Neurospora crassa OR74A: one gene and its partner. The protein of the gene in region 2 interacts with the protein of the main gene of each other region in a pairwise test. Links are inferred from orthologs where the notes say so. Each region holds a gene or a part of one and is shown on either strand. Other genes may lie near its edges. The genes, in order: NCU04799 and NCU01929.

Region 1 (16,609 bases), on a different chromosome or scaffold from region 2:
TGGTGATCAATGTGGCCGGCCCATGGCTCGGACTTCGAGTCCTCTCGGATATTTATATATATATATATATACGCATCCTGGGTAGATAAGTATGTAATGTAGAGCCATACACATGATTTGTCACTACTATGTACACCACTTTACTTGCCCCCTCCTTTCGGTCGCGAAGGTTTTAAATGGACGTTGTGGTGGTTGGGTTGTCAATTGTTTGTTTGTCTGAGCATGCGCAGCGCAGGGAACTAACAGGACGATTGTCTCTGTCGCGATAGAGTAAGTACACAGGCTATATGCGGCACAGCTTGATGATGTGCCTGTCTGTCGTCCCTCTGTACTACCCAGTTATGTATGTGCGTGAAGTAGATGTTAATCATTGCTTTGGGCTTTAACTACAACGATGGAGAAAGATGATCGAATATACACTTAATCAAGTAGGAAGTAGCAATCAGTCAATTTGGCTTCAAGTGAATGAATGAATTATCAGCTGCTTTAATGCTTTTAGTCTCAAACAAGACTTGAGACAAGAAAACCGTCTGAACGCCAAACCTAACAACATCCCATCCCATTCAATCCCATCTTGTCAACCGCAGATCCTCACGCTCTTCTGTACTATTCAACCCCATAACCGCAGCCCTAAATGATTTGGCCTCCTTAACTCAAATTAAACCCAGCCCCACTCTTCACCGCATACAGCAGTTTCTCCTTCAGTCTCCCCTTACTCCGATACTGCGGCAGCTTGAGCAAATTCACACACGTACTCGCACTCGGCAACCGGTCCTCATCCTGCCCGGCATCCCTGATCGTGAAATAGGGCCTCAACTGACCAAACCCCAACAGCGGCGCTCTCGGCGTTGACGTCACATATTTCAGGACCTCCCTCCTCTCCTCGTCCTTCAGCTCATGCATCACCTCCCAAAAGATCTGAATGGTGGGGTGCTCCTCCCCATCAAGACCGATCTGGTACACCCCGTTGTAGTGCGTGTTGCGACGGAGATCTTCAACGTCGATTTCGGAGCTGTCGCCGCCGACGAGGCGTTGGAGCTCGAGTTGGTTGAACATGGAGAGCCAGCTGGGGTCGATGACGGAGCCTAAACCGCGCAGGAAAGCGCGCGTTTGCGGGTAGGGTTGGCGGACGAGGCGGTGGCGGGCAACGTAGGAGATGTAGAGGGGGCGGTTCTCGTTGGTGACGGGCGTCGAGTCGCCGTGGGGGATTAGCGGGCGGATGATGGTGCGGGTGGGTTCGCCGGGTGAGTTGATGGGGTCGGTAATGGTGAAGTCGAGAGCTAGGTCGGTTTGCACGTCGCCCGTGTAGTTTTTGAGGCTTAGCATGCCTTGGTAGAGCTCCTCGTCGAGTTCGCGCAGGTCGTTGATGTTGGCGCGGTAGCCGGCGGTGGTGGAGGAGGATGATGCTAGGGGGTTGCTACCGCCGCCTGGGGTGTCGTTGGCGGTGGCCCATTTGAGGAGGAAGAAGCCGGCGAAGACGATGTCGATCAGGATCCCCTCGTACATGCATTTGCCGATAATTCGCCCCAGGAATTCGTACATTTTGAGCACCTGTTCTACAGCACGCTGTGTTTCTTCCGGTTCTCCTACCCGCATGTTCCTGATCCGATCGATAAGGGTGGGATTTGGGTAGTATGCGTTCTTGCTGTTCGTGACAAAGAGTTCGGTGTGGGTAAATGCCTCTGTAGTTACGCTGTCAAGGAACTCTTTGGTGACGCCGCCGCCATCGATACCCGCCTCCTGCATTCCAAATTCGTCCTCAAACGTAACCTGGATCGGCTCTTTGAGTCCTTCGCCCAACTCCCAAAGCTGTTTCATGGCATCCTCAAAAACTCGACCTCTTCGGATCCGAGCCGTGTGTTTACCCAGGGGGTGCTGGGCACCAAAGCCATTGCGTAGCATATGAGCTCTCCACATGTCTGGATCGCCATCTCCTCCACGTCTGCGCTGCTTATCCAGTTGGATGAACTGTCGGAAGATTTGAACGCGCGTCTCAAATGGGATAGCAAAAGGCATATTGCGCAGAATCTCAAGCTTCGGGGTGATTGCAGACAATAAGTGGTTGCGGGCGGCCTTCCTATTCTTCTGCCTGAGCCTCTCAAGATGTGCGTAGTGAGACCATTCCTGTTGATCATCCTCGGAGCTGTCGGCACCATCTTCGGTATTGCTCAGCTCGTGTTGTCTCTGCTCTTCAAGAACCACAGCCGCAAGGAACCCTTCCATGTCGAACTTGGATGTCATCAGCCAGTGGCCTTCGGGCAAAAATGGTCGTCTCGAGTCCCGTTCGTAAAGCATCTTCATGGCTGTCGTTGCTAAGTCTCTGAGCGTAGTGAAATCAACTCCGGCAGGAGGAAGGAAGCTATCATTTTTGGAAGCTTGACCGCCATCGCCTCTAGGGCGATTCGAGTTGGGCGTCTCGGCCCAAGGGCTGTTTGTCAGTAGCTCCTTAGCATTGTAGTACATTGTGAAACTGAGGTGCTTGAGAAATTGTGTCAAGCGCTTCAGTTCGCTCAGCGACATTCCCGCCAGACGTAGTCGAGAGGAAGGGCCGCCGAAGTTAGGATGGGGGTTTAAAGTGCTGAAGAAATCATCGTCGTCCATGAGCCGCAAAACGAAGATGTACGATTCAAGGAACAGAAGAACAGTTTTCCATTCTCGATGCCACACCGCCTCGGCAGCTGGTGATGACGGTTTGCGTCGAAGAAAGTCTAGCGTGGAGTCCTGGCTGGACGCAATCTCTGAGAACACGGACGTCTTTTGTGTAGCACTCCAGAAGTACTTGGCCGTTGGAATACGGCCTTGGGCAGTGGAGATGTCAGCCACATAGAGGAACATGCGAATGTCCTCGCTAAAAGCAGGAAAGCAGTTGATCAAAGTCAGGATGAAACCAGCGAGGTAACTGGCGTCGTCATCCGCCGAAGTAGAGGTTTCCCCGGTAGTTCTAAGGTTGTTAGCGCTTGAAATGAGCAGCAGGCGAAGGAACACTTACGCGGTAAAAGCGCTTAGAAGGTCTTGGATGGCTCCTTTATCAACTAGCGACTGAAGCTGTTGTCGCACAAAGGGATGCAGAACGTCGGATCCATCTTGCTCGGCTTCCGCAAAGTAACCCGTGTCCTTTGGTCGAGCAACGGCAAAACCCGCCCTTATCTGGGCTGAGCACAGAGGGAAGAGTGATTCTAGGGTCTTGATGAAAAGAAGCCTTGAGCTTCGTTGTTCCTTCGCCCCATTGATCGCAATGTAGTGTGCGATAAGCCAGAGGACAGCGTTCGGGTCATGCTTTGAAAGCTTATGCGAGAGGTCAATGATATAATTTGACAGCCGATCTAGGTCTATGTTGGCGGCTAGTCTCGTAATCAGGTCCGAGCATCGCGCCGGGCCGGGCTGTGTCAGAAAAGAAACAACCAAGTTTTGGTAGGCTGTATGTTTGAAGTCTACATAAAAACGGACGGCCACAGTTAGTCAAAGAAGCTTTCTTGTACGATGGGGAGAATCCCAACAAATGGTACACACCTAAATCGTGGGGTACATCAAGCGGTGCAACCACCAGACTGCAAATGAGCTCTTGGACAGAAGAGGGCAAACCAGTCTCCTGGCATAACCTTCCGAGTACCTTGTACCACTCTCCCAGAACTTGTCCAAACGTCTCGAAGTCCGACGTCTTGGTCCTGATCGCATCAAGGGCCCGTAGGAAAAGAGCCACCTGAGTCTGCTCGTTTCCGAGATCACACCTATCGAGAAGCCATCTCTACATTAGCATGCTGGACAGTTGTGGAATAATGACTCGGGATCCAAAATCATGAACTGCTCACCTTGTCAGAGCAGCAAGTAAAATCCGCCTTAGTTTGCCCAGTTTGTCCCACCCCAAGAATACCAAGCTAAAGGCAGAGAAGTCTGTCTGGAGAAGATCTTCGGTAACCAAAGCTAGCCTGTGACGGTCTTGTACGTTGAAAGCTTGGAAGGCGGCAAACACCAGAGGTAATGCCTGCGCTGACCTCTGCCCAGCATCAACGGGTTGCGCTTCGTACAGACGGTCGATAGCCTGGCGTTGTTCATCTCGTAGGGTTCGTCGCACACGATGTCCCCTCCATGTTCGTTGTATTCGTTGCGCCGCTCTGAGCCGGTCTCGTTCCTGTTGCCTTTGCTGACGTTCTGCTTGGGCATGCGCTACTGTTTTGGAAGCTCCCGTCGCTGAACCGGCGCCCCATGAGGTGCTGGTGAAGGGGTTGCTTGTCCGTTGACCGCTGAGGTTGACATTTCGACCTTTCCTAGAGCTACCAGTAAAGGTGGGAAACATGGCTAGTGACTCGAGTGTTTGGTTTGATATTCGAGATTCCCCAACACTAACACGGAAGATCGGAGGGCGGACGAGTGGCGAGAGGAGGGAAGCTTAGGCGTGGAATTGCGCAGGTTGATATTATATCGAATGAATATTATATATTTTTGAAAGTGTTCTGATGCGGTGTAGATATTCGGACTTGAACTAGGAGGTCGTACGAGCCGGGATCTCCGCGCTGGAGGTGTTGTCTTGCAGTTGGTCGTCGTGAACGGTGTGGTTGATGTCCCCGTGTTGGACTGCAGGAGGTTGCTCATGGAGATGGCACGGCAGTGATGGCAGTGATGACGAGACGATGGCCGGCTACCTGGCCGTTGTTGGGTTGGAAGCAACATCCCCGCTGTTTTTGCGTACCTTTCAGGTGTGTGCCCACTGTTATGGTACCTAAATAGCTAGCGGAGTGCTACGGCACTTGCACCTGTCTAGGTACTGCACTAACAAATCATCACTAATCCAGACAATGGTAGGCACCAGTAGAGGTAGCTGTTCCAGAAAGTTCAGTCGCTGCCACCAACCCGAATCGATGTCTTGATAAGCTCGATCAACCAACTGAAGTGACATGTATCTCAGCGCTAGCGACACATTGTTTGGGACCTAGAGTAGAGGCTTGCTACAACACCAGCGCGGATTGAATCCTACGACGAGCTTCGGAACGTTAACGTCGGCGCTGAGCATCAAAAGGTTTCTGGTGGTAGATCTCATGATTGAGTGTCGAGGTAGGTACCTCAGCAGGAATCCAGGTACAGCGAGGTGCCTTGGGAGATGACCCCTCTTTCCTTTGTCTGTGTTATCTTATCGCCCGGGGCAGGCAGGCTGGGCATCGATGACATCCATTGAAACATGTGAAGCATGGTACATAGAGGTACCTCTAGGTAACAAGACTGGTGGTATCTCGAGCACATTGCTCGTCCGGGCGAATGAAGAGTTATGTAAGGATTCTATACCTGAAGAGAATCCTGAATGGTTGTTGTCGTCCATCAACTACAACAGGATGGTGCCTTTTTGATGTCCAATTCAATGACGATGAATACGGGTTCTATGGCCCATGCCCGCCCCGGCCTACTCACAAACACGAAGGCCAGAGGTCAAACAAGCCCTGGGCTGGCAAGGCTAGTCTGGGACACAGCCAAGCAGCGTCGTCCGTCAGATGCCTGCTCCCGCCTTGGTTCCTTCCACTTCACTTGACTTCTTGATTGAGTGATTGTGGTGTCCGCCGTGCCAATTGCTGCGCTAACGGTGGTGGAGGTAGTCTTGATATATGAATATCTTCATACGAGTTCCTTCCTTTTCCAGATGAACCCAGCAGCAACTCGGGTGGGACTGGTTCGGGTATTTGTATCAAGCCGATCTTGACATCTTGTTCTTTTCCATGTTAGACTTGACCCGGCACAGGGACCAATCACCACAATGGGACCAACCTCAACAGACAGCAGCCGCCATCAGGACCAAAACCTTTTCGTCGAAATGTTAGGATGTGTCATTACGCTCGAACTGTTCGAGTACCCAAGATGCCCTGTTCCAGACTTTGGTTTTTGCCGCTGGCTAACCAGTATATGACTGCAACATCCTGGCAGGTCATCCGGCCAAGTTGCCCCATCCAAGGTTCCGTGCGCGGCTTTGCCAACAATGTCTTTTTTGCAGGTGAAATGGACTGCGAATGCTGATACTCAGGACATCCGTTTTACTTCTCTATTTTTGTCTGGTGTGAAATATGCCCGTGGCACGAATGCAGCAGCAATGCCGTTTGCTAGCGGACTTCCAGAAAGGTAAGGCGGTCGTTAGCATTGTTCCATGGTGATGGGACAGATGCCAGCGACCCAGTGCCAAAATCCGGCACACCGCTGTAACCTATTGCATCTTCAACTCCAACCGCCAACTGAGATGGAATGTCCCGTGATTCAATACAAGTGAATCTCGCCGGTTTATACCAAATAGGTACGGCTGAAACGCAGGGTTTCATAACAACCCTCCAGGGTTCATGAATAAGTGCCCATGTCTGCCTGTTGTTGGCATGAGTCGTCGTCAGCCATGGTCGACCACAGTACCGTAAGTATGCTTGATCTCAGGTGGTGGCCCGGGAGCAAGTGGAAGTGCCAGGCAAAGTTGGAAGTCGCACGTTTCGCTGGATCTCCGGTCTGGTCTGCAGTCTGCACAGGTGGATGGATGCCTTTATGCGAGAATTCCTGGCGGGTCCTATCGATAAATCAAGGTTTTGCAGCCCATGCCACCCCGATACCCGCATGCCCTGACCGCCCTAGCCGCACTTCACCGGCTACGAGGGGCGCGGCACAGTGCGCAACCACAAGATGCGTGGGCGGGAAAGAAAAAAAATCTGACCTCCGCATTAAGACGTGAGCCATCCGGGCGTCGTTGCTTCTTGCCCTCTTTCTCCTCCTCTTCTTTCTTCAGCGGACCTCACGCCCTTTATCCTCAGGAAACTCCTCCAAACCGAAGCCAGAAAGAAGTCAGATAAGTACGAACATTTACCCTCTCGGTCTCTGTTCTATCTACTTCTTGTCTGTGACAAACAAAACCTCACCAAAAAAATTTGAAAATCGCCGAAAAAAGAGAAATCCCCCCCATCCATACAAAACCCCATAAAACCCACCAAATCCACCCACCTTTTTTGGAAGACATTTACCCAAGTCTCCAAGTCCACCAGTCTTCCTCTCCCTCTCCCGAATCTCGTCCTTGACCAGTCGAGTTCATCCTCCCTCTTTGTCAATACCGTCGCCCGTTCTCCGCGCCGGTTTTACTTGCTCCACACAACTCTAGATCTCGGGTACGTTGCTCGTCGCACTATCAATTCCTCCTGCCTTGCCATCGTCGTTGTCGTCGTCGCCGTGGCCGCCGCCAGTGCCGCCCGCCCAACGTCACGTCAATTGAGACTTGTCCTCTCCTCCTCCTTTCCGCTGTCGTCGTCGGTCGACACATCGGTTACCCCTCGGCGCCTTGATCAGAGACACAGACACACACAAAAGGATACGGACGCTGACAGTTCCATCCATCATACAGAATCTACAGTTTAACCAGCAAAAATGGCTGCCACTTCTACCGCCGCTGTCGACCAGCTCGCCGCTGACCTCGGCAACACCAGCCTCGACAACAAGGCCGCTGCCCCGGCCCCCATCGACACCAGCGCTGTCCCCGAGGCCCAGGCCGAGGGTGCTGAGGCTGCTCCTACCCCCACTGCTGCCCCTCACCCCCAGGCTTCCGCCTCTCTCTATGTCGGCGAGCTTGACCCCTCCGTCACCGAGGCCATGCTCTTCGAGCTCTTCTCCCAGATCGGCTCTGTCGCCTCCATTCGTGTCTGCCGCGATGCTGTCACCCGTCGCTCCCTCGGCTATGCCTACGTCAACTACAACACCACCGCTGACGGCGAGAAGGCTCTTGAGGAGCTCAACTACACCCTGATCAAGGGCCGCCCTTGCCGCATCATGTGGTCCCAGCGTGACCCCGCCCTCCGCAAGACCGGTGCCGGCAACATCTTCATCAAGAACCTCGACGCTGCCATTGATAACAAGGCTCTTCACGACACCTTTGCTGCTTTCGGCAACATCCTTTCCTGCAAGGTTGCCCAGGATGAGCACGGTAACTCCAAGGGCTACGGTTTCGTCCACTACGAGACCGATGAGGCTGCCTCCCAGGCCATCAAGCACGTCAACGGCATGCTTTTGAACGAGAAGAAGGTCTACGTTGGCCACCACATTCCCAAGAAGGACCGCCAGAGCAAGTTCGAGGAGATGAAGGCCAACTTCACCAACGTTTATGTCAAGAACATTAACAACGAGGTCACCGACGAGGAGTTCCGTGAGCTCTTCGCCAAGTTCGGTGAGGTCACTTCTTCCTCCCTTGCCCGTGACCAGGAGGGCAAGTCCCGTGGCTTCGGTTTCGTCAACTTCACCACCCACGAGGCTGCTGCCCAGGCTGTTGATGAGCTCAACGGCAAGGACTTCCGTGGCCAGGACCTCTACGTCGGCCGTGCCCAGAAGAAGCACGAGCGCGAGGAGGAGCTCCGCAAGTCCTACGAGGCTGCCCGCCTCGAGAAGGCCAACAAGTACCAGGGTGTCAACCTGTACATCAAGAACCTCGGCGATGATGTCGATGACGACAAGCTCCGTGCCATGTTCTCTGAGTATGGCCCCATCACCTCCGCCAAGGTCATGCGCGATTCTCTGATCGAGGGCTCCGAGGAGAAGGATGAGAAGGACAAGGAGAACAAGAAGGAGGGTGAGACCAAGGAGGAGGAGCAGAATGAGGGCTCTGAGAAGAAGACTGAGAAGAAGGGTGACCGCAAGCTCGGCAAGAGCAAGGGCTTCGGCTTCGTTTGCTTTAGCAACCCCGATGATGCCACCAAGGCCGTCACTGAGATGAACCAGCGCATGGTCGATGGCAAGCCCCTCTACGTCGCTCTTGCCCAGCGCAAGGATGTCCGCAAGAGCCAGCTTGAGGCCAGCATCCAGGCTCGCAACCAGCTCCGCATGCAGCAGGCCGCTGCCCAGGCTGGTATGCCCCAGCAGTACATGCAGGCTCCTGTCTACTACGCTGGTCAGCAGCCTGGTTTCATGCCCGCCCCCGGCGGTCGTGGCGTCCCCTTCCCCCAGGGTGGTATCGTCCCCGGCGTTCAGGGTGGTCGCCCTGGCCAGTACCCCTACCAGCAGGGTGGCCGCGGTGGCGTCCCTCCCCAGCAGATGCCCCCTATGGGTTACCCCATCAACCAGTTCGGCCCTGGTGCTTTCCCTCCTAACACCCCTCAGTACATGGCTGCTATGGGCCAGGTTGGTGCTCTTGGTGGTGGCCGTGGCGGTCCCGCTGGCCGGGGTCCTCAGGGCATCCCCGCCGGTATTCCCCAGGGTCTCCAGGGCGGCCCTGCCGTTCCCGGCTACCCCCCTGCCGGTCGTCCCCAGAACGGTGGCGGTCGCGGCACTCCTCGCGGCAACGCTAACTTTATGGCTGCCGGCCGTGGTGCCTCCCCCATTCCTGGCGCTCCTGCCGACCTCAGCGCTGGCTCTTTCCTCCAGGCTCAGCTCGCTACCACTCAGGATCCTCAGGCCCAGAAGCAGATCATTGGCGAGAACCTCTTCCCCAAGATCCAGGCCATCCAGCCCGCTCTTGCTGGCAAGATCACCGGCATGCTCCTCGAGATGGACAACGCTGAGCTGATCAACCTGTAAGTCTACATGTCTATTCCTGACTCTTCTACATATCGCTAACCTGTCTCTCTGTAGGTTCGAGGATGACAACGCTCTTAACGTCAAGGTCCAGGAGGCTCTTGCCGTGTATGACGAGTACCTCAAGACTCAGGGCCAGCAGCCCACCCAGCAGCCCGCTGAGGCCAACGGCGAGCAGCCCAAGGCTGAGGAGCAGAAGCCGGAGGAGCAGAAGGCTTAAATGTGCCCTGAGCGATGGATGATTTCCCACGCACCGGCATAGGTGTTTCTCAGATGTTTCTTCATGTTCTCCATTCAACTCTCTAGGGTCGATCTCGCAACGGGGGGTCCGGAAAAGTTTATTTGATACCACACTTCGCTTGACGACAATTATGATTTAATCTCTCCCGATCCCATGCAACCCCATCACGGTGCGATGGCCGAATTGGCAGTGGATGGATTTTAAAAAGTATCTCCAGCAGGTGGGGTGCAGTTTGTTCCTTGTGTGCATGACGACTTTTACAAGCAGTATCTCGATATGATATTGATTCAAAGTCATCCTCATGTATTGACAGGCTTGCCTTTTCTTTCTCTCCTTGTGATGGAGCGTGGTGTCGCATCATACAGGGTTGGCCATCTGAAGGGGTATGATTATGTTCCTTATGTTTTATCAACGATTTGGCGTTTACGGTTAGGGAGGGAAAACTGGCCAAAAGTGATTATCTGCAATTGGTCCGGAATGTCGGGTTTCTTCAGCCGCGTTTTCACAGAAGGGGAGGTTAAGCTCGGGCATCTTAGGGAACACATTCTTTTCGCTCTCGAGACAGTAACAGAGCGAATGTTTTAGAACCCGGTCATGTAACAAGAGTGGGAAGGAAAGGGATATAGACCAGCATCTTCATTGTCCAGATTGCCCATGAGAAATGGGGGTAATGGGACTTCTTATGGGGTTGAATCCCGGATGAATGGCAGAAGGAGGATCGAAAATTGCTCAGCTAGAGGGTAGAGATAAGCCAATAGATGCTATCAAGTTGATATCAGTGAATTCTTGATTGTGATGCTGGGTAAGCGGTACGTGGCTTCTGGTTGCGGTTACAGTCCATCCCTTGAGCTTGGATGTTGTTCCAGGCCATATTTTATACTGATCGACAGCTTTGAGTCTTCATGTGCTGTCGTCACTGACCTCGGAGTGATGAAACGAACAACGAGTGTCAAAGAAGAAGCAAGACAATACGAAGTAATCCCAACAGAGCCGCCAACGAGATATAGGTACACCAATTTGAACGCCATCATTCCATATCGACGAATTCAAATGGTTATGGTTTAAAATAGCATCCGTTCGTCACAGAAATCACAACAACTGAGGCAACAAGGATGAGTTCAGCTCGTAACCTACTACCCAGCTAAAATCTCATTAGGATCTATTTACCCACCTCAAGAAAAGAGTACTTCTTAATACCCATCATCAACCTCATCGATTCCCCTCTTCCTTCGCCTTTTCCTCCTCCTTCCACCTCTCTGTCCTCTCCCTATCCATCCTCTCCCACTCCTCCCAGAATTTCTCATCCTCATAATAACTAGGCGGCAAATCCTCTCGGTTTGTGCCCCACCCATCCTTGCCCAAACTTTCTTCCGGTCCAACCACCAACTCCAACAACCCGCCCTGTTCAAAGAACTCATGCGTGATCCAATTCTTGGTGTATTTCTTCCCATTCAACTTGGCAGACTGGATATAAACCGGTTTCCCACCGTTCCTGCCTTGCATTTCAGCATCGAAATTGACGGTTCTGATCACCGCCCATTTTGCTTCCTTTTTTTTCTCCGAGTAGAGGTAGTAGTCACGAGAAGGAGAAGGAGAGGACGATGATGCTTTAAGGTCCATCCCGGCCCTCACCTTGACCTCTTTGAAAAACGGCGGGACAATCAAGTACACGTCCTGCCCCGCAACGGGGAAAACACCCAGTCCCATGCCCCACGTGGTGAAGGCCCCCATGGCACAATCGTCGTTTCCCGGGATGCCGTTGACGCTGGCGTTGAACATCTGTGGTATATAGTTCCGCAGCCACTTGGAACTCAGGCCCGGACGACCGGCGTAGTGGAACTGAAACACGGTCAGGAACGATTGTTCGTTGCCCATGTAGGCGATGCCGCTTGAATGGTAGTATTCCAATCGCTTGACGAACGTGTCGGCCCCGCCCATGAGTCGGATCAGCGTCGACATGGACTGCGGCGCGAAAAAGGAGTAGAGCCACGGTGACCCTTCGTAGACGTCCAGCGCCGTGTCGTAGTAGCACGAGTGCTGGTTTTGGATGGGACTGCAGGTGCGCGCGGGGTGGTACCGGAAGGTGCCGGCAAGTGTGCGTGGTTGGAGGAAGCCGACAAAGGGCGATTGGATGGTGTAGCCTTTTGGTACCTGGGAGGAGGAGACGTTTTGGCCGGAGAAGTAGGGGGTGTCTTCGGATTGGGTGGTGTGGTCATCGCGGAAGAGGTCCTTTGCGGAAGGGTTCCAGTAGTTGCGCCAGTTGGCGCCGCGGTGGTGGTATTTGGTGATGTCGGCGGTGAGGGAGGTCCAGGGGGTTGAGATGTTGGGGCGGTAAGAGGAGGAGTCTGCGACTTCTGAAGACGTAGAAGAAGCACCGAGGAGAGAGGGGGACTTGGATAGACCCTGGGATAGGAGGGAGATGCAAAAGTCGTTGTAGGCGTACTCGACGCCACGAGAGATGGAGCGCGAGGCTGGGCCGGTGCCGTTCGTGTCCACGTCGTTCTGGGGAATGTAGCCGCGATCGTGCCAGGAGACGAGGTTGCCGCGGCCGGAGAGACCCCAGTTTCGGGGCTCGATTTCGGCGTCGGAGAGGACGGCTTCGTAGGCTGTCTTCCAGTCGATGTCGGCTGTGAGACCCTTGACGAAGGCGTCGGCGATGACTACGTCCGCGTTAGAACCGCCTTGGGTGTAGCCTTTGCAAAAGGACATGCGACAGTCAGGCAGTTTGCCTTCGTGTCTGTAGATGTCAATCAAGGCCCTGATCATCTCGGTTTGTGCCTTTGGGTCGATGACTGTTAGAAGGGGGTGTTGAGCTCTGAATGAATCCCAGATGCAGTAGAACCTACGCAACGTTAGCATCTTTCTGTTCCCCCTTTCCTGGTTGCCAGACTTACGAGTCAAAATACGGCTCGCTCGAATTCCACAACGGGTTTTCCCCCGTATAATTTTGCGGACTCAACAACGTCCTATACAGTCCACTCCAAAAAGTAGTCTGCAACTCCTCACTGGTCCCATTCGCATCCACCCTCACCACATCCAACTTCTCCCTCCACGCCTCTCTTGCATCCCTTTCAACCCTCTCAAAGTCCCAATCCTCCATCTCCCTCTCCGCATTCTCACACGCCTTATCCACGGACATAAACGACACACCCACTCTCGCCAGAATCGAGTCCTTCATCTCTTCGTCAGGCTTCTCAAACTGGATCCAAGCACCCGCCGACCCCCACCCGACGCCTTCAAGAAGCTGTTTCTCGTCCGTAGCTTTATTCGACTCGAACGTCCCTGTCTTTCTGATCTTGGCACCCTTGAAATCCGCGCAGAAATAAGCGTGGTAATGCCCCGATCCAAAAGAAGGGCCGTACCGCCCGTCACCCATGATCCGGCCAGTTTCGGGGTCAACTTTGATGTTACCCCTGGAGCGACTGTTCATGAGGTCGACCAGGTCTACCAAGATAAGTGGACTATAAGGCGCCACGCCCTTGGCGAAGGGCACCGCCTCTGTGCCGGGGAAGGAAAAGCGGTAGAGAACGGAGTGGTGGGTAGTCGTCATCTCGGCCCTGACGCCATTGGTGATGTTCACGGTGAAGTACCCTGGTGAAGCATAGACGGAATCAGGGACGCGGTTGAGCGGTCGATCAGAAAGGGAGAAGTCGCATTTGGTGTAGTCGTCGTCTACACAGCCCGGATGCACAAAGAGCGGGAAGTTTCCCAGAGAGGGCTGGCCGCCCGTGCCGGAGTCGTGCATGTGCGAGAAGCCGGTGATGGGGTTGTCGTCGGACACGAAGCCGGCGGCGTTCTCGGCGGGCGAGGCGGTGTCAGCCACGGCTTTGGCCATGCCGTAGGGCAGCGTGGCACCGGGGAAGACGTGGCCGCCGTTGGTAGTGCCGATGAGGGGGTCAATGAATCGCAGGAAGTCATTGACATTGTGGTTTTTGACCGCCCCATAGGATGGGCTTGAGCTGGAGTGTTTGCCATAGGAACCAGCGATGTCGGGTGAGAAAGGAGAGAAGAGGAAGAAGATGGTGATGGTGAATAAGACGGCGAAGAGAAAAGCTCTTCTTTTTCGTAGAACACTGGCAAGATAAACGGGTAGTTTAGCTGCCGCTTGGCGGTACGGTGAGTCGTTATTCATCGCCATGGTTCCTGACCTCAGCCGTAGTTGAGGTGAGAGATACGCTTCGCGTGGCTATCTCTCTTCTAAATGGTGGTTGTCTGAAGCTCTCGCATGCTATGTATGTGGCCTGTTAGTTATTGACAGCCATTAGGTTGGCAGCGTTTCAGACATAAACATAATCTGTTCCCTTGCTTGGATATCGAGACATCAAAGTCAAAGATCATAGTCAAAACATCAACATACACGAGGATAACCAGGGTCCGGAACCCCTGAAGAGACAAGACAACCCATGGCGTCGAAGTTAAGTCCGGGGTTGCTAACTGATCCACTATCAATCAGCCTCTTCGGGACATGGGCCACATTGTGCTAAAATGATAATTTGGGCACATTGAATAAAGTGGCGTTCTTGTCAGGAGTGTCAAGTTGAATGGGGGGGAAGAGGAGAAGCTGAGGTGGGAATTGGTCGCCAAGACGATACTAAGACCTTTACCGTGCCGGCGTCCGATCGGGAACAGGGGCATTAGCCACTGACAGGTATGCTATTGTCCAATAAGGAAGCAGGATAGTGGCTTGAAATGGCTAAGGCTTGTCGGTGTTACAGGGCCATGCCTTCAAGTTTTGGATGTCCAAAGATGGAAGTTCTCATCGCTGGCCTTCGAACTGACTCTAGACATGCCAAAGTCGAAGGGAAAGAGGAATGTACATGGAACTTTCGTCAGGCCTGCCCAATCGAGAAGTTAAGAGAACCTCTGCTTGATGTTCACCGCTGATGATTTCATTTTGGAAAAATCGTCATTGTCGTGGTGGTATTCTTCAAGGCAGAGTCGGTCCGGTGCCTGACCCACGAGAAAATGATATCGAACCAAGAACCCTTAATATCGGAATGTTCATATGGCCAATATAGGCATCCTTCGTGAACTCTTTCGGTAGGTAGTTCGTAGCGTGGCCAATATGTAGACGGTACCGCCTCTTTACCCATTTTCGTTTTATCCATATAGCTTACCTAGGTGGTACCTCTACCTTCTCTCACTTGCCGCCCACTTACAATTCGTCACATTCTTCAGATATTTTCCACCTTCTGCGTTTTGCCTGTGAATACGTCAATACTTCAACCATGGCGCATTATTTTTGGAGACCTTCACAATGAATAGAGTGGACAGCTGTATCATATCACGCGGTACCACCCCAGCCATCCATAACTGCCGTGAAATGATCCCCTCCTGGACACGACCTGATGTGTCCGCCAGCTCTACATCCCAAAATCTGTGGCCCAGCATATCGCAAGTTCATCATGACCGCGATCAAACTGATTAGCGGTCTACATCCACTGCCCTTATAACGTTGGGGAACGCTGGAGCAGGGACCCCTGTGCGGAACGGTACGAGGATGATAGAGTGCCAGCAGATCGAGTGGTGATGCTATGCATTTATCAGCTCTTTGTGCCGGGGAACATGATGTTTTGGACGGACCACATGGTTCGTATTGAGTATGGAGAATCCGTACTATAGATCATGACTTCGGATGATGATACCGAGATTGTCAAGTGCCTCCAACAGATTCTGTCGTCAACGGATGGGTTAGGGTTGAAGTCTTGCGTCGATCAGATCTCAGAGTGCTTCGGTATGTACGAGGCAATGGTAAGTGAGACTTTTCCTTGACCGTTTGGTCTACTCCGAGGATTCCTGGGTTCGTACGTATCGGGATTTAACGGTTGTCATGGAACAGGTCCTCGTGGGAAAGGGCCTCTCGAAATCCATGATGTTGAGGGACCGAAAGCTTCATCTGCAAGATTTGATATATTAGTAATATAAGGCAGAGAGTATACCAGCGTTGCCGCTTCTCAGTCTTCGAGATGTTTATTTATAGTATCGAAGAGTTGTCGTGAACATGGTGGACGACTCCTGAATGACATCCCTGACGTCACTTGGACAAGAAGGGTTAGGGTTCTGTGTACGATAAGGGAATCCGGTAAGCCGTCAAGGTGCCTGCCGGACCACGGGAAAGCTCCGCCCGAAGTGTCTCCAAAGTCCAAGCTGAGCTCGAAAAGATCTCCATTCCACAGACCGGGAGCTGGTCACGAGGACGACTGGGAAATTTGGGAAGGGAAAAGCCACAACATGGTTTCTGTTCCGTAATCAACCGGCGGTGTTGTTGTTCATTTTGTTTGCCATCAAGTGATTCGTAATTGTGGTACAAACCCCGAGTCAGATGATGGAGATTCTGGACTTTGGTGATTCTTGACCGTCTCTCGTTGGCTTGTTGCCAGATTTGGGTGCCGGTGTTGTCGGGTTTGTTGACAAATCCTCAGCATCGTGAGCCGATTGCCGGATGGTTGGCAAATTGAACAGAACAACCACCAAAAGGTCTTTGGCGACAGAAATGGGAAGCATTGCCATGCGCAAGTCCCGTCGGCCCGGGAAATCTTCTTTGGGGGACTTCAGTTGCATTTGCCAGAGTTGCCCCGCACCCCCGGATCTCGCCCAGCCTAACTGTCATGCCGCCCCTGACGGCTTCTGGATCGCCCCCGGTCGTTAGGTAGGCAACCCCTCCACTCCCCCTTCGTCATCTTGGCTTCATCCATATCATATGCAAAAACAAACAGTTGGGGAAAGTTCCCCTTCGGCCGGCGGCTTATCACAAACTCCTCAGACATCAGCTCGCAACAGGTCATTGAAGAGTAATGTGGGCAATCAGCAGACGGCTAATTCGGCTTTGCCACGAGTACACAAGAACCACAATACCTAAAGCAA
Region 2 (16,328 bases):
TCCATTTCGGAAACCTTGGCGGACATATGCCGATTTCATCAACATCTGAATTTCGGTGCACAATATACGAGCCTTTGGAATCATGCTTACACTACACGCGTGTGTTTGCACATGTCAAAGTGCCAGTCAGGCACTGGAAGATTCATTGACATTGCCGCTTTTCTTGAATGACGAGAAAATGTAGTGAAGTCTCGAGATAAGAGGTCAAAGTCCAGAACGGTCGGACCACCCGAAGAGACACTGGTCACTGATGGGCGGACAACCACAAGAAATCCTACAACACCAATGGAAATTCGCAACTAACTTGCGAAACAACTGCAATGATAACCTCAAGTCAACATCAAGCCATTAAAAACGACCATATGCATGGTTTTCCGCCATTCAGATACACGACTCCCTGACATACAGATAGAGGGGCACCAGCTGCCAGCAGACCAGCCACCTACCTACCGCACCGCTACATCCTGCATTACCTGAAACCTTCCCACTCCAAGATGCCTTCTCCAAGCTCCGACGAAACTTTGAGTGCAAAGACATTCAACTCTCTCGTCGATACCACCACTGCCGGGACCATGACGAGCATATCACTGACTTCGCTCGAATCGAATTCGACCATGACTCCCCCATCCCAACACTCTGAGGATGCAGTTGGAAAGGGGAAGCAACAATCATGCCAACATTGTAATCATCATCCTCCTCCTCCTCCTCATGATCACCATGATCATCATGTTCACCACTCTACGTCCTGTTCCTTTTCCCGATCCCCTCCTCATCCGTCTTCCCTCCACCAACCATCCCAACAAGAAGATCAACAAAAGGTCCAGGTCCAAAGTATAGAACCGGGACAAAACCCAGAACAACAAGAACAATCCCAACCCCAGCAGCAACAACCGCTCCACAAACAACACCAGCGTCCAACATCACCACCATCACCACCATCACCACCATCACCGCCATCAGCACCACCACCATCAGCAGCAGCAGCAGCAGCACAAGCTCGTTCCAACCCCAGCAACAATGGTAAAACCGCGCTAAACGAGTTCATTACCCGCTCCCGCTCTTCGACGCTCTACACACCCTCGGACAACGAGCGGGACGAGCAAATCCGCATCGCCATTCTGACGCGGTGTCTGGACATGGAGGATCGGTTTCAGGTCCAAGCTGCTCGGTATTGGGGTCGTTTACAATGAACTCCCGTGAGAATTACTGAAACGAGAGGGGAAAGAGGGTGTATGGGAGGGGGAGGGAATGAAAAGAGATAGAGAAGCGAAGGCGGACGAAGAGGGAGAAGGGAACGGAAAAGGGAGAAGGGAAAGGGAAAGGGAAAGGGAAAAGGGATAGAAAGGGAAAGGGAAAGGGAAAGGGAAAATGGATAGAAAGGGAAGTGAGAGAGAGAAAGATGTGAACTGAAGGTGAATTCATGACTGCGTGTTTCAGGAGGGAGGTTAGGAGGGTGTGGATGTTATTTTATGGCGTACCTACCTCTAGGTATTTTGGAAAATTGTTCAACTTGCGGATAAAGTGATCTTGACTTGGATAACAACTCGAGGGAAATATTTGGACTCTTGGCTTGAGTCAAGCCTACGAAGGAACGGAAAGAAGGGACACACCGTCTTTGGCTACCTGTCTAGCAGCCAAAGGAGCTGGAAGGGGATGAATATACGGGGAACATAACTGGATCAACTTTATGTAGGTTGGGTGTATTGGACGGGGTACGTATCAAGCAAAGATCGCAATCTTGGGCTTCTGTCGGCAGTTCAGGGGAAGATGAAAGGCAGCAACAACAAGAAGAAAGAAAGAAGAAAAGAAAAGAAATTAGCAAATCAGAGAGGTACTAAAGGGAGAGAAAAGCAACCTAGCGTGGACAGTCTCGCAATATGTTTATGTTGTTGCCACCATCGAGTAATAATACAACATGCACACATGTCTTTGTATAGCTTGTCCCCTCTTGTATGATATCCTACTGTCATTCTTCGTGAATTCGTTTGTGAACTACATGAGGCGCTCTCGTTGGTACCCCGATCTGAGCTTGCCAGTGCGCTAGCGACTTCTGCTTACCCTGCTGCTGCTGCGGCTCATTTGCTCGACTTTGTCGGCCCGTCGCTTCCAGGCGTAGTTTAGTGACGTACTCGCGGTCCTTTGACCTTTCCCTCCTACAAAAAGACCTTAACCGGGACGCCGTCCGATTCCTTCCCTACTATCCTCTGCCGCATCTGCTCTCCCATCCGTATCCTCACCATGTGTTTGCTCACCATCCTTGATGTTCGAACGATGAGCAGTACCAAGCCCATTCGAATTTTCCGCTCTCGTGGAAGAGCATTTTGACACTTCCTGGTCAGCTACCGCCTCCGCTGCTATTCCAGGCCTGCCCTCTTGGGGCGTATTTGTCCCGAGCAATGCAAAAATCTCATTATGCGTCGTTGCTTGCCAGTCACATCGTTCGCGGTTGTCGGCACACCCTTGACAACCGCTGCCCATATATTCGACACAGGGTATCTGTAGCCTCCGGCAGCGGTCACAAGGGGGGCTTGTCGATGCTGCACGCTCAAGTCTTTCTATAGCTCGTGTGCCGGATCGGCTGGCAGCGGTGTGGCGTTCCAAAGCACCGGATCCCCAGGACAATCGATGCGCTGGATCTTGCAGTACCGAGTTCTCCATGTGGATCGAACCAGCAAGTTGCTGAAGGGGAGCCAATGTTCCAGATGATGTCGGCATTGGTGGTGACCGGACAATACCAGCCTGCCGTAAATGCAGCTGCGAATGATTAGAGGATGCAAAAGAGGGACTTGAGCCAGATTTTCCTAAATTAGAAGTCTCGGCGTGCTGGGCAGCTCGAGATAGAAACTGCCGCAGTAAGTAAGCCTGGAGATCAGGATCGGGCTTCAGCTCGCTGTGGCGTTTCGGGTAATGGTTCAGTTCTGAAGAGTGCTGGAACGTATAGCGAGCCCCAATGGCAGCCTTGCGGCCGCTCAGGTGATAGTTCAGTTGCCGTGCTTTGGCAGCTATCTCGTCTGCCTTCTGAATGATCCTGTGAACTCGGTCCTCAACTATATCTAGCGTGACCAACTCGATTCCGTCATCCTCTTCCAACGGTTTGGGCGGAACTAGGCTAAAACGGTCCAAAGCACCGGACCTGATAAGCCGCCAGTCATCCTCGGTGATTTCGACGTCGACGTTTTTCATGGAGAAGCGACAGACCCGGCCACGACTGGTTATTGTGGTGAGATTGAACTCGCTAGGGTTAGCAGCCGCAAAATCGAGGATGTCCAGCCAGCTAGGCTTATATGGCTGATCCATTCCGGAAGAAGTCTTGGCATAAACAGTAATTTCACCTTCGAAAAGACTCTCCATAGCTCGTAGTAAACGAGGTGCGGTGAGCTTGGCCCCTAAGTTTGCAGCCAGGCTTTCATGTCGACTGAGAACTCCTTGAATAACTTTAGCTCTGGAGCCTGTACTACAGAGTACTCTTCATACCTTCATAGTCGCTTATAAGGGATATGACCTTGTTGAAAGCGCAGTTATCCCCACGAAGAAGTTCGAGGCTTGATGTCTTGATTCCGGAAGCGGAAAGATAGTTGATAGGTGTAGTGTTACCTAGCGATAATCAGTAAGACAACGGGGACTTCATTGAGAGTGCAAGAGCCCAAGTCATGGCGCAACCCCGTCAAGTATTGGCTCAATGGGAATTTGTCCTCTTCACGTTGTAACATACCTGACTGTGGCGGCCGTGGTTGGGGTATGCGGTCAGGGCGGGTAAGGCCGGGGATGCCATTGTCGTCTAGGTCTCTCTTGCGCTTAGAGGGGCCGGGCCCAGGGGAACCATCCCCCGATTTCCCGTTGTGTACGCCTGCCGGCATCTTGCGGCGTCACAACAGAACCAAGCAAAGGAGAAACTGCTCCGAGTGGACACTATGGGGTTGGGTCACTCCCTGATATTCTATATCTTGGCCGGGTTTTGTCTCTATTCGAGGACTATTCGTATCGACTTTACAGATGTTAGCCTGGCCGTGGCAGGGTAGGCGACTCGAGGAGACTGTCCCGCATCAACAGGGCGAGCCTGCGGTGAACTGCTGTAGTATAGTGGTGCCGATTCAAGCCGGTGAGGGAAGCCCAATATAGGTAGGCGCGTACAGAACCATGCGCGATGCGACCTGTACCTGTATTAGGAACCCAAACTTGCCGTAACCGTTTGGCAGTGGGATAGCTGGAGGTCTGATAGTCGAGAGCAAATTGTGAGGTCAATGAGGATATGCTTCCCTTGCTCGAAGTTTGATAACAGCCGGGGCAACGAGTCAGGGACACTTCTAGCCAGTGGATAGAGGGGTCGAGTCGTTAAGTAGTGTAGGCATCCGTCAATGGAATATGTAGGTAGTAACACCGATTTTCGAGCGGCTGGAAACTAAGGCCCGTTTTGCTCCTTGGGCAAGCTTGGAGTTTGGTAGGACCTACTTGTGAACTCCCAATCGCACCTCGTCACATGGAACCCAACTCGATCGGATACTCTTGGCCCGGTGAGCGTGCGTCTTGGTTCAATGGCTCTCGGATGTTGCCGAGAGAAATTGAGTTCTTGTCAAGCACCTGAATTTCAAAGACGGCGCTTCTTGATTCTTGGCACACATGCCTGACAGTCTTGGACACAAGTTTCTTCGCCGCTGCATTGAGAGCCAAGATGGTAGGCGGCTGCTGCAACGCACCATGTTTTCGCTACTAGGTAGTTTGGCAGTTGTTCCCGTTGCTCAGAACCAAAGACAGAACTTGAACGATGGCCAGGCGAAGTATTCCCTCCTCAGCCGTCCGACCATGTTAAAAGGTCGTAGCAGATGATTAATGTGTTGGGATATTGACAAGCTCATCACACGACATGAAAACCCTACGGCACTGCAGAGTTGACGGACATGGTGGGAAGTCGAAGAGAAAGAAATAAACATACCAGGGCGACCTTTCATGGAACAAAAGTGTAGTGTAGTGGATGAGCTGGCGGGCCGTGTCTGTGAGCCGTCCAGCACATCAAATTGGTACTCATGACACGCATTGTTTTACACTGCTGGACGTCACGAAGAAGAGTCTGAGGAACGAAGGCAGGATTAAGAAACTTCGAGGTTTCGATCAAGCCGGTTGTGGTTGGACTGGAAGAGAAGGGAAGGGAAGTTGAGAAGCTAAAAAAGAAAGCTTGGGCCACTCAATCTACGAAGTGTAGTGTAGCGATTCACGGCTCCTGTCGTCAGCCAGTCTGGGGAATGCTACCTGGACCTCAAGGATCCACACTACCCGCACTTACAGCCGGATGGCAGCCCCACAGCGGGGTGCTTGGCAAAGCACAGCTGTGGAAGAAACTCAGCTAGGCGTCACTCCCGCCAGCGGATGCAGACGCCAAAAACGCGACTGACCCAGACGGGACGACTGACCAACCCCACGACATCCATCGCAACCCATAGCGCCAGCCAGCCTGACGACAACAATCGCAGCACCGAACGACATTACCAACACCACAAATCAACACTCGACAATCGCCAATCGGTTCGGTTTCGACGACTTCCTCTCTTCTTCCATACCCACCAGCGCAATACACGGCGCATACTCAATCAACTTCACAAAGAAACAGAACAATGGCCGATAGAGGAAATAGGGGAGGCCGTGGTGGCGGCTACCGGGGCGGTCGCGGAGGTAACCGTGGAGGAGCAGGTGGTTCTGGCTCCGGCGCCGGTGGAGGTCAGGGAGGCGGTGGTGCTCAGGGCGGTGACCGCGGTGAGCGCCCTAAGAAGGAAAACATCCTCGACCTCAAGAAGTATATGGACCAGCGCATCACTGTCAAGTTCAACGGTGGACGTGAAGGTACGTCGTGACATGGCTGTTTCCCGAGTCCCCTCAACGAGCTCCCTTAAAGCTCCCCACAAAGCTCCCTACAAAGCTGACACAAACCCTTCTCTTGTCTTCGACACAACAGTTACCGGTACGCTCAAGGGATATGATGCGCTTATGAACTTGGTTTTGGATGATGTGCAGGAAGCTGTGAGAGGTAAGCTGTTGCCTCCCTTGCCTTTCTCTGCCCAGTGCACCTCGCTCTCTTTGGCCCCAGTTGGTCCTAACCCACGCACCTATAATAGACGAAGAAGGCAACGAAACCACCCGTCCTCTAGGACTTGTTGTTGCGCGCGGTACGCTCCTCGTTGTGATCAGCCCCGTCGACGGAAGCGAGGTGATTGCGAACCCCTTCGCTCAGCAGGAGGAAGAAGCTTGAGCAGAAGGGAATGCTCGTCTGGACAAAGTAAAACTGCATCATTTTCGAAACATTATACCAACTTGGGGATCTGAACGCCATCCCGTCATGCTCGTAAACCGAGCGATACCGCAATTGGACGAGACGACAATTTTGACGAAGGAAAACGGGGCAGGACAGTGAGAAGGAACACCAGGACAGAAACCTGAAAGGTTGAGAGAAGTCTAACAATATGTTATGATATCCGCCCCACTCAAGGATAGGACGGTGCAACAAGGGAAACATTGCTGAGTTGGGTGAGCAAACACCCAGTGTCGAGCATGAAGGAACACAAGTCGGCCCCAGCTACCAACGATACCCACCAGAGGGACTGTAAGAACAGGGGTTGGCTACATCGAGAAGAAACACACATGCAGCTGGTTGCCCTGAGTTATGGTAAACGTCCAGCCAACGCCGTTATTGACGAGTGGGGGAATCTAACTGGAAATCAAGCCAGAAGGCAACATATGCCTGTTCAAGAACGTCCCTTGGCTCCATGAACTCTCGAGCAGCGGCAAGTTTTCTCATTCAGTATCTCCTAGTGGAATGAGAACGCTTGGGAAGATAACGAATAGTTCGGCTCACCGCATACATATGCCAGTTGTTTTCAGCCCACATCCTGCTCTGGGACGGAATTGGGCACGTGTTCTGAGTCTGTTTTCTAGTTCGCTATCTAACATGATCTGCTCATCGCTGTTAACCACTTTCCACCACTTAGTCCACATTTCTTCTTCTCAATCCCCCCTCTTCGCTTTCCTGGTAGGTCAAGCTCGCTTTGGTCGGGCTGCTACGTCCATTATTGTCGTTCAGCCTTCATTTGAGCTGCGATCCATATCCTCGCCATGGCAAAGGCCGTCACCGAACATGTGGAGCCATTGGCTGAAAGCGCAAGTCGAAAGACTCTATATTCAGATGGTAGCCCCCGTCGCGCTCGGTTTACTTTCCTTTCCAAGCTCGCCATACGCACGGTCCAGCATCTGTCGTATACTCCTGTAGCTGACGACGAAAACCGTGGCATTGTCGCGACTGGTGAGCAAGATCTGTTCTTCGGAGCTGGCGTCGAGCTTACTCAAGCAATTGAGGTAGTGATTCGTGTCGAGCCGAGCCTTTCCATCGGCATCCACTTGGTGGAAGACATAATCCCTGAATAGTTTTAGGAGGAGGCGCTCTCCAGTTTCCGACCAGTTGTGCACCCCACAAGAATCGCCCCGCTCGTTAACAACGGACAGTTTGAACATGAGACGGGCAATCCTGCCATTCTCCAATTCCCTCATAAGATGGAACTCTTTCTCATCGGACTCCTGCATGACAAAATTGGCAAAATTGGCGAGGTGTGTTGTGATTCCGCCAAGTAGGGTCTCAACCGTCTTGGTTTCCCCTGGAGCAGAAGGCTTAATGAGCCATTCCAATACTCCCCTCAACTGTGTCGAATAGCGCGGCACAATGGTAGCCAGAGCAGCGTCAATGTTGTTGAAATTGAGCGTCGGGGTGTTCGTGGCCAGAGCCAGAATAATTCTGCCAAACTTGACAAAATCCTCTTGTTGCAGCTCCTCAATAGTTTTGCGATTGGGGCTGTCATGATGTAGTACATCGAGGATTGAGCACGCCGCAAGCCGAATGCGGTTGTTTTCCCAGATGATCTTGCTCAACTCCAGACAGCGGGCGGCCAGCTTGGCATTGTGGATGGCCAACAGCGCGTTCGCTATTTGGCACACATAGCTCCATAAAAGGTTCTCGGGAATCTTGTTCGTATTCCGTAATCTGTTGTGGCTGTTGTTTGGTGGAAAATGATGGTCGTAGAGTGTTTCGGAAAGAGGGTGAAAGTCATACACGAAGATCAGAGAACTGTCGCCAAAGAATTCGGTGGTAAATGCTTCGTGTACGGTGACAATGTTTGCGTTGATGATCTTTTTCCACTCCTTAGTGACGTTGAGAATGGCCTTTTCGTTGGTCAACCGGTAACCTGCCAGAGCCGAGTTAGTGAACTTATATTCTCAAAGCCAGAAACTAGGCATGTCATTACCTTCGATACGTCTCAAGGCGAAGTGTCTCCCATTCTTGTTGTTCTGTGCTTTGTACATCCAACTAGGATAGCCAAAGCAAGTGGAGTTCCTCGTAGCCTTTGTATCGAGTGGGAAGAGCGAGTGCCAGCGATCAAGATTAGGAAGCCCGGAATCTGCTGCGGTTAGCGACCGATCTCCACTGAAGAAGCTATGGACTCACTTGGTAGTAATTGCTGCATATGGAACAGTTTCTTCTGCAAGTTCTCTCGCCTATCCTTTGGGATGAAGAAGTCGTACGTGGTTCGCTGATAAGGTTGAAGGCTTGGACGATACAGCTCCGATGGTGGTTGGTAGAGATGGTAGTTGGGTGGATGGACCAGCCCATTGCCAAAACCCGCGGGCTGATATAATCCTGCCCCAGCACCGGCCAGATTGTTTGGGTCGTTTGCGTATGGGTTGTATTGGCCTTGCGGCGGCATTGTTTGACCCAGTGAACTTATCGAAAAAGGGTCGCTGTAAAGACCACCGTCCTGAGTGACGTGTTGTGCCCCATTCTGCGATATCTGCCGACGACTGTGAGCAAAGGCCATCTGCCAGCCTTCCACATATGACTTACCGTGTTGCCAACATCGTAGTTTTGCGGGGTAAATTCCCTAATAGCCGCTGGGTTGAATATGGTCGAATCATTTGCTTGCTGTAGAGTCGGCGTGGATGCTATGGTTGAGTTAAACATTGCCTGAACATCCATATAGGTCTCAGAACCGCCCTGGGACACTTACTGCCAACTCCCCTTGGGGTGAATGGGGCAGCACTCGCAGCTTGGGAGGAAAAGGTGGACTTCTTTCCAGCTGATTGCTGCTGGTTAGCTGGCGTAAAGGATGGGGATTCGACATTGAAGACTCTTCGATTTGAGTTGCTATAACCAAAGTCAGAAATAGACAAGACATACCGACACAACGGAAAATGAAATAAAATAAAAAACACCAGACAAGCATATTCTCGCCATGACGTTGCAATCCCATTCCAAAACCCAGGAGCATAACTCCCCGCTGACACAGCACGCGGATGTAAACAGAGTTAGGATAAAACTTACAGGTCGGTCTGTGAGACGGATGCCTTGTTCTGGTCATGGTTGAAGGTACATCCAGAGTCCTCCCATCGGCAATGTCCGTAGATAACAACATTGCGGCAGAGTGTTTCCTTGGTGTCTTCGGGAGCAAACCAGTTAGCGGGACACGCCGGACGGGCTGCAATAGAACGAAGATCGAGATCCGGGCTACGTTGAGGACATACCGCGGTTCTTTGCACGCGGCGACCCGACTTGCCTTCGGAGATCGCCCGAATTATATCGCGTTGCGGCCATGGTGTTGTAGACGGGTGAATTATTGTATTGGACTAGCAAATGGGATGAACGAGCCCGAGGCCGATTTTACAACGCCTGCAGCAGAGCAGCTTAGCAAAAGCACATCTAGCGAGCACGGAGAGGTGGATATACTTCTTCACCCTCACGGATCTCTCCCATATTTCGGACAAGCCGACACCCATAGGGAACGGCGAAGGCGCCGGCGCAGAGTTGCGTGGCAGCAAGCGGTAGCAGCGGAAAGCTCGAGATTTCGGGTTATACGTCGACGATACGCTGACGAGGTTGGCGATGGACAGGAGGGACGTATATGATCGGATCGGATGGCACGCGATGGACCAGTTGGAGATCCAATGCGCCACTCGCGGAGGGACAAAGGGGACTGGTGGTTGGCAGATGTCGTATGCAATCCTGGGGCTGCTTTGAGGGTGATGGAGGTCCTGTTGGCTGCGCTGACTTGACGAATCGAGTCCAAGGGGGGGTCAGATTCGGATGGTTTTGCGAGCACAATTCGCTACAGCACTTTGCGGAGCAAAAACGGCGATGCGTGACCGTGACGACGGGAACCTTAGCGGTAGCTACTGCCCACGAGTGCCCACTCACTTTCTCCAGTGTCAGCGACGGACGGGAAAGAAAGCTGAGGAACTGCGACGCGGCGGCGGGCTGGGCTGCGGACAGGGCACAGCTGCGTGCCGGGCGGGAGTCCAGGGCAGACACCACACAGGAAGGGAACTCGCACCCGGTCGCATCGACGAGTGTGCCATCGCTCCCACCCCACCACTCCCACCATCTTGGCGACCCTGTTTCCACTTCCACCAAGTCGTAGCAGTAGGTGCCCGGTTGCCCGCCCTCAGTTCCACCCGGCTCCTCCATTCCCGACGGGACCTACCTACGACCTCTGGGAGAAGGTTCCACCGCGGACAGCTGCCGATATGCGACTATCAGATTTGTGCATCGCTGCCCAGGGACCTGCGTTAGGCACATAACCGAGGCCGCTGACCTCATCTAAGTGACGTGGTATCTTCACGCTTCAGCTTCAACGCGCAGACATTTGACATATGTATGTACTTGTAGGTCGCTACAGCCCGGTACTGTACACCATCAAGGTTCACCATTCGACCTCTTCCTCCTTGGTCTACATCCCGCTTCTTCTTCCCTTCTCTTTCTTTCTTTCTTTCTCTCTCTCTCTTCTCTAATCCTCCATCGTGATTCACTCAATTTCCAGTCGCGATCACGATCAGAGCTATATGTGTCAAGTCGCTTTTTCGACAACCAAGCATCGCGAGCATACCGAGGCCAGCTTGTTTGAAATCTGCCCCGTTTGATGCGCGGTCGAGCAACCAGCCTTTCTTCAAGTGACCCCTTCCGTCCACGATTCAGCAAGTGACGGTTTGATATTCTACTCATACTCCAGCTATCCACGCGACCGCCGAACTGCATACAATGTCAGGCGACAATGCGGTGGACATCGGTCAGCTGTCCCCGGAACAACAGCAGGCCTTGCAGCAATATACAGATGTTACAGGGCAGGAGATCACGGATGCTATTCCGTTCCTTGAACGGTCGCAGTGGAATGTTCAGGTAATTGTCGGCTAGAGGCCCCCCGGCTTTTCGATGCCTGCATGCACGTGCTGGGACTGACGTCTGGCGCAGATAGCAATAGCCAAGTTCTTCGACGGCGAAGGGCCCGACCTGGTTGCCGAAGCCCAAGCAGCACAGAACCAAGTTCCTAGGGTTGCCGGTAGGCATGAGACATTACACGAAACCGTCTGGTCGGATATCGCGCACCAGCATGGGCTACACCGCGCGAACCGAACACCGCCCGCCCCGCGTGTGGTGCCCCCGAGGCCCGTTACATACCAAGCCCCATCACTGATTTCATTCCTCTTGTCGCCTTTCCGGATGGTTTTACGAGTCTTTGCCAGTCTGTTTCGGCCTATACTCTACATACTGTCCTTTATTCCGCAGTCTCTGCGGCCCCATGCTTTAACAGCATCATTCCGAAAATCTCGGCGGAGCTTGCTTCCCAAAGAGACGGCTGGGCGATTTAAACGGGAATTTGAGGAGTATTATGGCACGCATGATCTGGTCTTCTTTGACGGCGGACATGCCCAAGCTTTGGACACCGCAAAGAAAGATCTCAAGTTCTTGTTGACGATACTGATTTCACCAGAACACGATGACACCGACTCATTCATCAAAGATACGCTTCTCGACCCCGAGGTCGTGGCCTTCATCAACGATCCCGCCAACAACATCATAATCTGGGGAGGAAATGTACTGGACTCTGAAGCTTATCAAGTTTCCATGGAGTACACGTGCACCAAGTTTCCGTTTTCATGCTTGGTGTGCCTCACGCCGAAAGAGGGAAGCACACGGATGGGAATCGTGAAGCGTATTGCAGGGCCTGTCTCTCCGTCCGTCTTCATTGCTGGGATCCGGGGAGCGATTGAAAAGTACGCGCCTGATCTTGACAGTGTTCGCGCCGAGCGCGCGGCACAGGATATGGCCCGTAACTTGCGATCTGAGCAGGATTCGGCTTATGAACGGTCGCTTGCTATTGACAGAGAACGAGCACGGCAACGGCGAGAGGCAGCAGCAGCTGCTGCCGAGGCGGAGAGGCGCGCACGAGAAGAGGCTGAGGCAGCGGAGCGAAAGGAAAAGCTACGCCAGCAGTGGAGGAGATGGCGTGCTACGACTATTGCCGCTGAGCCTGATGTCTCGGTAAAGGATGCGGTCCGTCTGGCGCTTAATATGTCGCAGTCGTCCGGAAGGGGGAGAGTCACGCGGAAGTTTGCCCCTGACGCGTCACTGGAGGATGTCTATGCATTTGTCGAATGCTATGACTTGCTCTACCCTGAGGACGAAGAGGAGAAGGGAGATGTGGAAGAGAGCACAGATAAGCCTGAAAATTATGAGCACAAGTACGCGTTCCGAATTGCGTCCGTGATGCCAAGGGAGGTTTTTGAACCTACCGCGTCAGTTACTATCGCTCAAAAAATGGGCAGGGGAGGCAACTTGATCGTGGAGGATCTTGTTGATGAGGAAGAGGAGGAATGACGGCCGCTTGGTTGGGACTCAGAGCTTGCGGCATCGTTGTTGGCGAGGCATTGTAAGACAGAGTGATTAAAGGTAGCCTGACGCCTCATCGTTGTGTAGTGTAAGGGGGTTGGACATTCGGTTACAGTGTGAAGGCTTTTATATGTGAAATCCACTGTCTGACTTCCCATGGCTGAAGGACAGTGTGCTCTTATGTGATGTGGTCCAAGGCTGGATAGTATTTTAAAGCCTGGATTATTATACTACAACGTATTCGAGGCAGGCGAGTGTGCTGAGCCTTGTTGTTTTCTGGTTGATCACCCCCCAAGTACGCACTTTGAGGTAAGGTCCAAACAGTCTTGAATCACAAGCAGCCAAGATCAAAGGACACTCCCTGTCTCCATCAGAAAGGTGGGCAGCCGCTTGTACTAGTACCTCTTGGATGGGCGATTAAAGAGGCTGTTATAAGTACCTCTACTGAGTAGCTCGCCCATCATTCTGGATCGACCATAGATTGCGCAGCTCACTGAAACGACATTCTCCATTGATACTACAACTGCATATATAGCGAATACTACCCGAATGGCTTCGGGGACGATGAAGGCTACCAGAGCGTGGTTTAATAGGCACGGCAGGCATCATCGATGGCTGGTTTCAAACGCCGACATACCTATCATCCACTTCTGGATGGATCCGAAAACACGTAGCGTAGGTGATGACAGGAGCGGGCCGTTATTGAACTCCTCTACGGTCTACTCACAGCCTAAGATGTCCCAAGCTACCTATCACTGGACCCTGGACCCCTCCTACATGCATGTAGTGCCGCGCGTTGTTGTCTTTGTAAACCCCGATCTCGTTTCCTGGACCCTTGTTACCGCGTGGAGGCACTGCACTGTTCCTTACCTGCCTTCCCCTCGACTCCCGCTCTCTGTTAGTCGTCAATAATCCTCTGCCTTCTCTTACTCACCTGCCTCGCGGGGAACCCAGCAATTGCATCATCTGCTTCGATAGTTCACCACGAAATTCATTCAGTTGCGCGTCCGTCAGAGCTCTCATTTTCCCGTACACGTATTTCTCGACGAATTGATGAATTTCGCGACCAAGCAGGCAACAACACAACTCTTCGCCTGTGCGCCCGCCACGTTACGTGCCCAGACATCAGGCAGACATTACCGCGGTTTAAGACAATCCTCAACGTCCACGCCCTCCCTCTACACTCGAGACACCGCCCGAGCTTGGGCGCGATTATGACAAGCAAGATGAAGAACTTCAGCATGAATAAGATGCTAAACAGCATCAAGAAGAAGCCAACATTCTCCAATGGTAAGCGCTGGTCAGAAAGCTGGCTCCGCGACCAAGCCACCGTTTTTGGGATCGGTTTGCGATTATCGGTGCGGTAGCAAACGCAACTTGACCTTTCCGCTTATCTTATGTTCTGAAGCTGACCTCCCTTTGCTTGTATAGCAGGAAGTGGAAGTGGAAATGGAAATGGCGACGACACGACATCCGATCCGACTGGTGATGGTCCCGAGGCAACGGCAACCCGTTATGTGGTAGGCTGCTCCCTCAACCCCCCCCTCTTTGAAACACGCCTGTCTCCCGGAAAGCTCAAGCCGCTGACATGGGCCGTTTACACTGATAGAAACAATTCTGCATGTCTGATAGCGGCAATTCGGTATGTTTTTTCTAGTCGCACCGTCAGTCGCAAATCCAACTGCATGTCCGGCTGGGAAGAGAGGATCAGGGGCTTCGAGAACAACAAATCCGATCTGCCCCCGGTCCAGGCTCCTACGCGCACATATACAGCCGCACATGTCAAGGGTCAACTTCTGATTTGAAGCAGGGAGACGAAGTCGCTTTCCTACCATCGATCGTCGAGGCAGCCGAGTCGTCGCCGGCCGCCGCCGCAGAATGCGCCCGCCTGATTCGAAAATACTTACATCGTGACTACTGGACTAAACCCTCATTGCAATACAACGCCATCATGCTCATACGAATCCTTGCCGATAATCCGGGTGCGACCTTCACGCGAAACATGGATAAGAAGTTTGCCGATACCACCAAAGAGCTGCTCAGGTCAGGGAAGGACGGCAATGTTCGACAGATGCTCATGGAGACATTGGATGCCTTCGAAAACACAAAGGGCTACGATGAGAACCTGCAATTTCTTATCGAGATGTGGAAAAGGGAGAAGGAAAAGGCATACAGGGTCTACGGCGTAAGTTGTCCTCCATCCACGGACATCCGGTAGCAGGCTCAAAGTGATACCACGACTCGGCTACTAACTCAACCACACCGTCTAAGCACCACATTTCACCACCCCCACCCCAACAGTACAGTCCCTACTTATCACACCATCAGTCGCTCCCGAACCAGCAGGAATATTTCCAACGCGCCCAGCACACCTCCCGGCTTCCAGACCCCGTCGAACTCGCCAACCGCCTTGAGGAAGCCCGCACCTCCGCCAAACTTCTCGAGCAAGTAGTCGCCTGCACGCCACCCCATGAAATCCTTTCCAACGACCTGATCAAAGAGTTCGCGGACCGGTGCACGAGTGCCTCGCGCAGTATCCAGGAGTACATGTCCGCCACGGACCCCGCCCCCGACAACGACACGATGGAGAGCCTGATCGACACCAACGAGCAACTGCAGCAGTCGCTGAACCATCACCAGCGCGCGGTACTGAACGCCAAGAAGCAGCTAGGCTTGGGCTCCCCCGGCTCCGAGAGCATGAGCAGGCCAGGCTCGGTGGCGCCTGTAGTGAACGAGCAAAGCCGGCCACCTCCGGCGGCGTCGGGCACGAGTAATTCTAGAAATGAAGGCGTCCAGGACTGGTTGGCAAGTAGTAGCGCGGCTGCAGGTGGAAGTGGGAGTGGAAGCGGCAGCGGAAGTGGTCGGGGCGCCGGCGTTGGCGCCAGCAGCAGCAGTAGGGGGAAAGGCAAGGCGGCAGCTACCTCGTCTGATGATAACTGGGGCTTGAGCGACTCCAAGTACGAATCCATCTCTTCCAGGTCTATAGCTGGTGGTTCTTTCTCCGCCGCCGCTGCGGGGCCTTCGAGGTCTCACGCGGAAACGCCATATCGTGACGAAGAGGACCCGTTCAGGGATCCGATCCAGCCTGATTCTTCAGCGTCTTCGATGCGGCGAGTACAACCGTCAACGTTGAACACGACGAATGTGGGGAATAATGATGAAAGATTGTCATTCGAGCCATATCACCCTGGATTTGACGGTAGTGGTCACAACAATAGCACGAGCGACAGGAAAAGCATCAATGACAACTACAGTTACAACTCATCGTCGGCATACGATTACATGGGGGTTGGAGGAGGTTCGGGTACAGGCGCTGGTGCCGGGAAAGCGAGCAACTCGATACCAGAGCCTGTCACGCCAGTTAGCGACGATGGGTTGTACGGTAGCGGGGATGTGCATCGCTCGACCGGGGTCCAAAGATGAGGTTTAACGGTACTTGGGCCGGCGAATGAATAGATGACGATAGCCACCCTTTCCTTCAGCCGTCGTCGATAGGTTGGGATATTGGGGGGGAAAGCTACGACGATTTGGAACAGGACGCGGCTCCGGGAGGAGAGCACCAGAACGACGAACGAGGTGATGAGCTGGGTTAAATTCCACTTATTCAAATCGGTTCAATCAACCAGTCTTCACGAGG

The links.
Region 1: the proteins of NCU01929 (region 2) and NCU04799 interact in binary tests that used the Saccharomyces cerevisiae proteins (3 or more experiments, as listed by UniProt). The link is inferred for Neurospora crassa OR74A from reciprocal best matches to the Saccharomyces cerevisiae genes PAN3 and PAB1.

What each region holds. Positions count from the first base shown.
Region 1 is NC_026506.1:856,802-873,410, reverse strand, and holds NCU04799 (polyadenylate-binding protein), read left to right. Parts: upstream 1-6,701; 5' UTR 6,702-7,115; intron 7,116-7,348; 5' UTR 7,349-7,371; coding exon 7,372-9,503; intron 9,504-9,561; coding exon 9,562-9,724; 3' UTR 9,725-10,525; downstream 10,526-16,609. Other genes in the region: NCU04800 (E3 ubiquitin-protein ligase), read right to left, coding at 649-2,941, 2,990-3,431, 3,511-3,728, 3,810-4,294; NCU04798 (alpha-1,2-mannosidase subfamily), read right to left, coding at 10,955-12,587, 12,640-13,883. UniProt on the Saccharomyces cerevisiae protein: Binds the poly(A) tail of mRNA. Appears to be an important mediator of the multiple roles of the poly(A) tail in mRNA biogenesis, stability and translation.
Region 2 is NC_026501.1:1,977,547-1,993,874, forward strand, and holds NCU01929 (PAB-dependent poly(A)-specific ribonuclease subunit pan-3), read right to left. Parts: upstream 10,345-16,328; 5' UTR 9,755-10,344; intron 9,698-9,754; 5' UTR 9,623-9,697; coding exon 9,553-9,622; intron 9,468-9,552; coding exon 9,353-9,467; intron 9,176-9,352; coding exon 9,039-9,175; intron 8,974-9,038; coding exon 8,876-8,973; intron 8,823-8,875; coding exon 8,480-8,822; intron 8,433-8,479; coding exon 8,280-8,432; intron 8,220-8,279; coding exon 7,165-8,219; 3' UTR 6,661-7,164; downstream 1-6,660. Other genes in the region: NCU16344 (hypothetical protein), read left to right, coding at 495-1,190; NCU01931 (hypothetical protein), read right to left, coding at 2,167-3,425, 3,475-3,594, 3,713-3,857; NCU01930 (U6 snRNP-associated protein Lsm7), read left to right, coding at 5,607-5,832, 5,945-6,016, 6,105-6,238; NCU01928 (UBX domain-containing protein), read left to right, coding at 11,063-11,200, 11,273-12,679; NCU01927 (hypothetical protein), read left to right, coding at 13,906-13,981, 14,123-14,211, 14,301-14,333, 14,502-14,876, 15,020-16,114.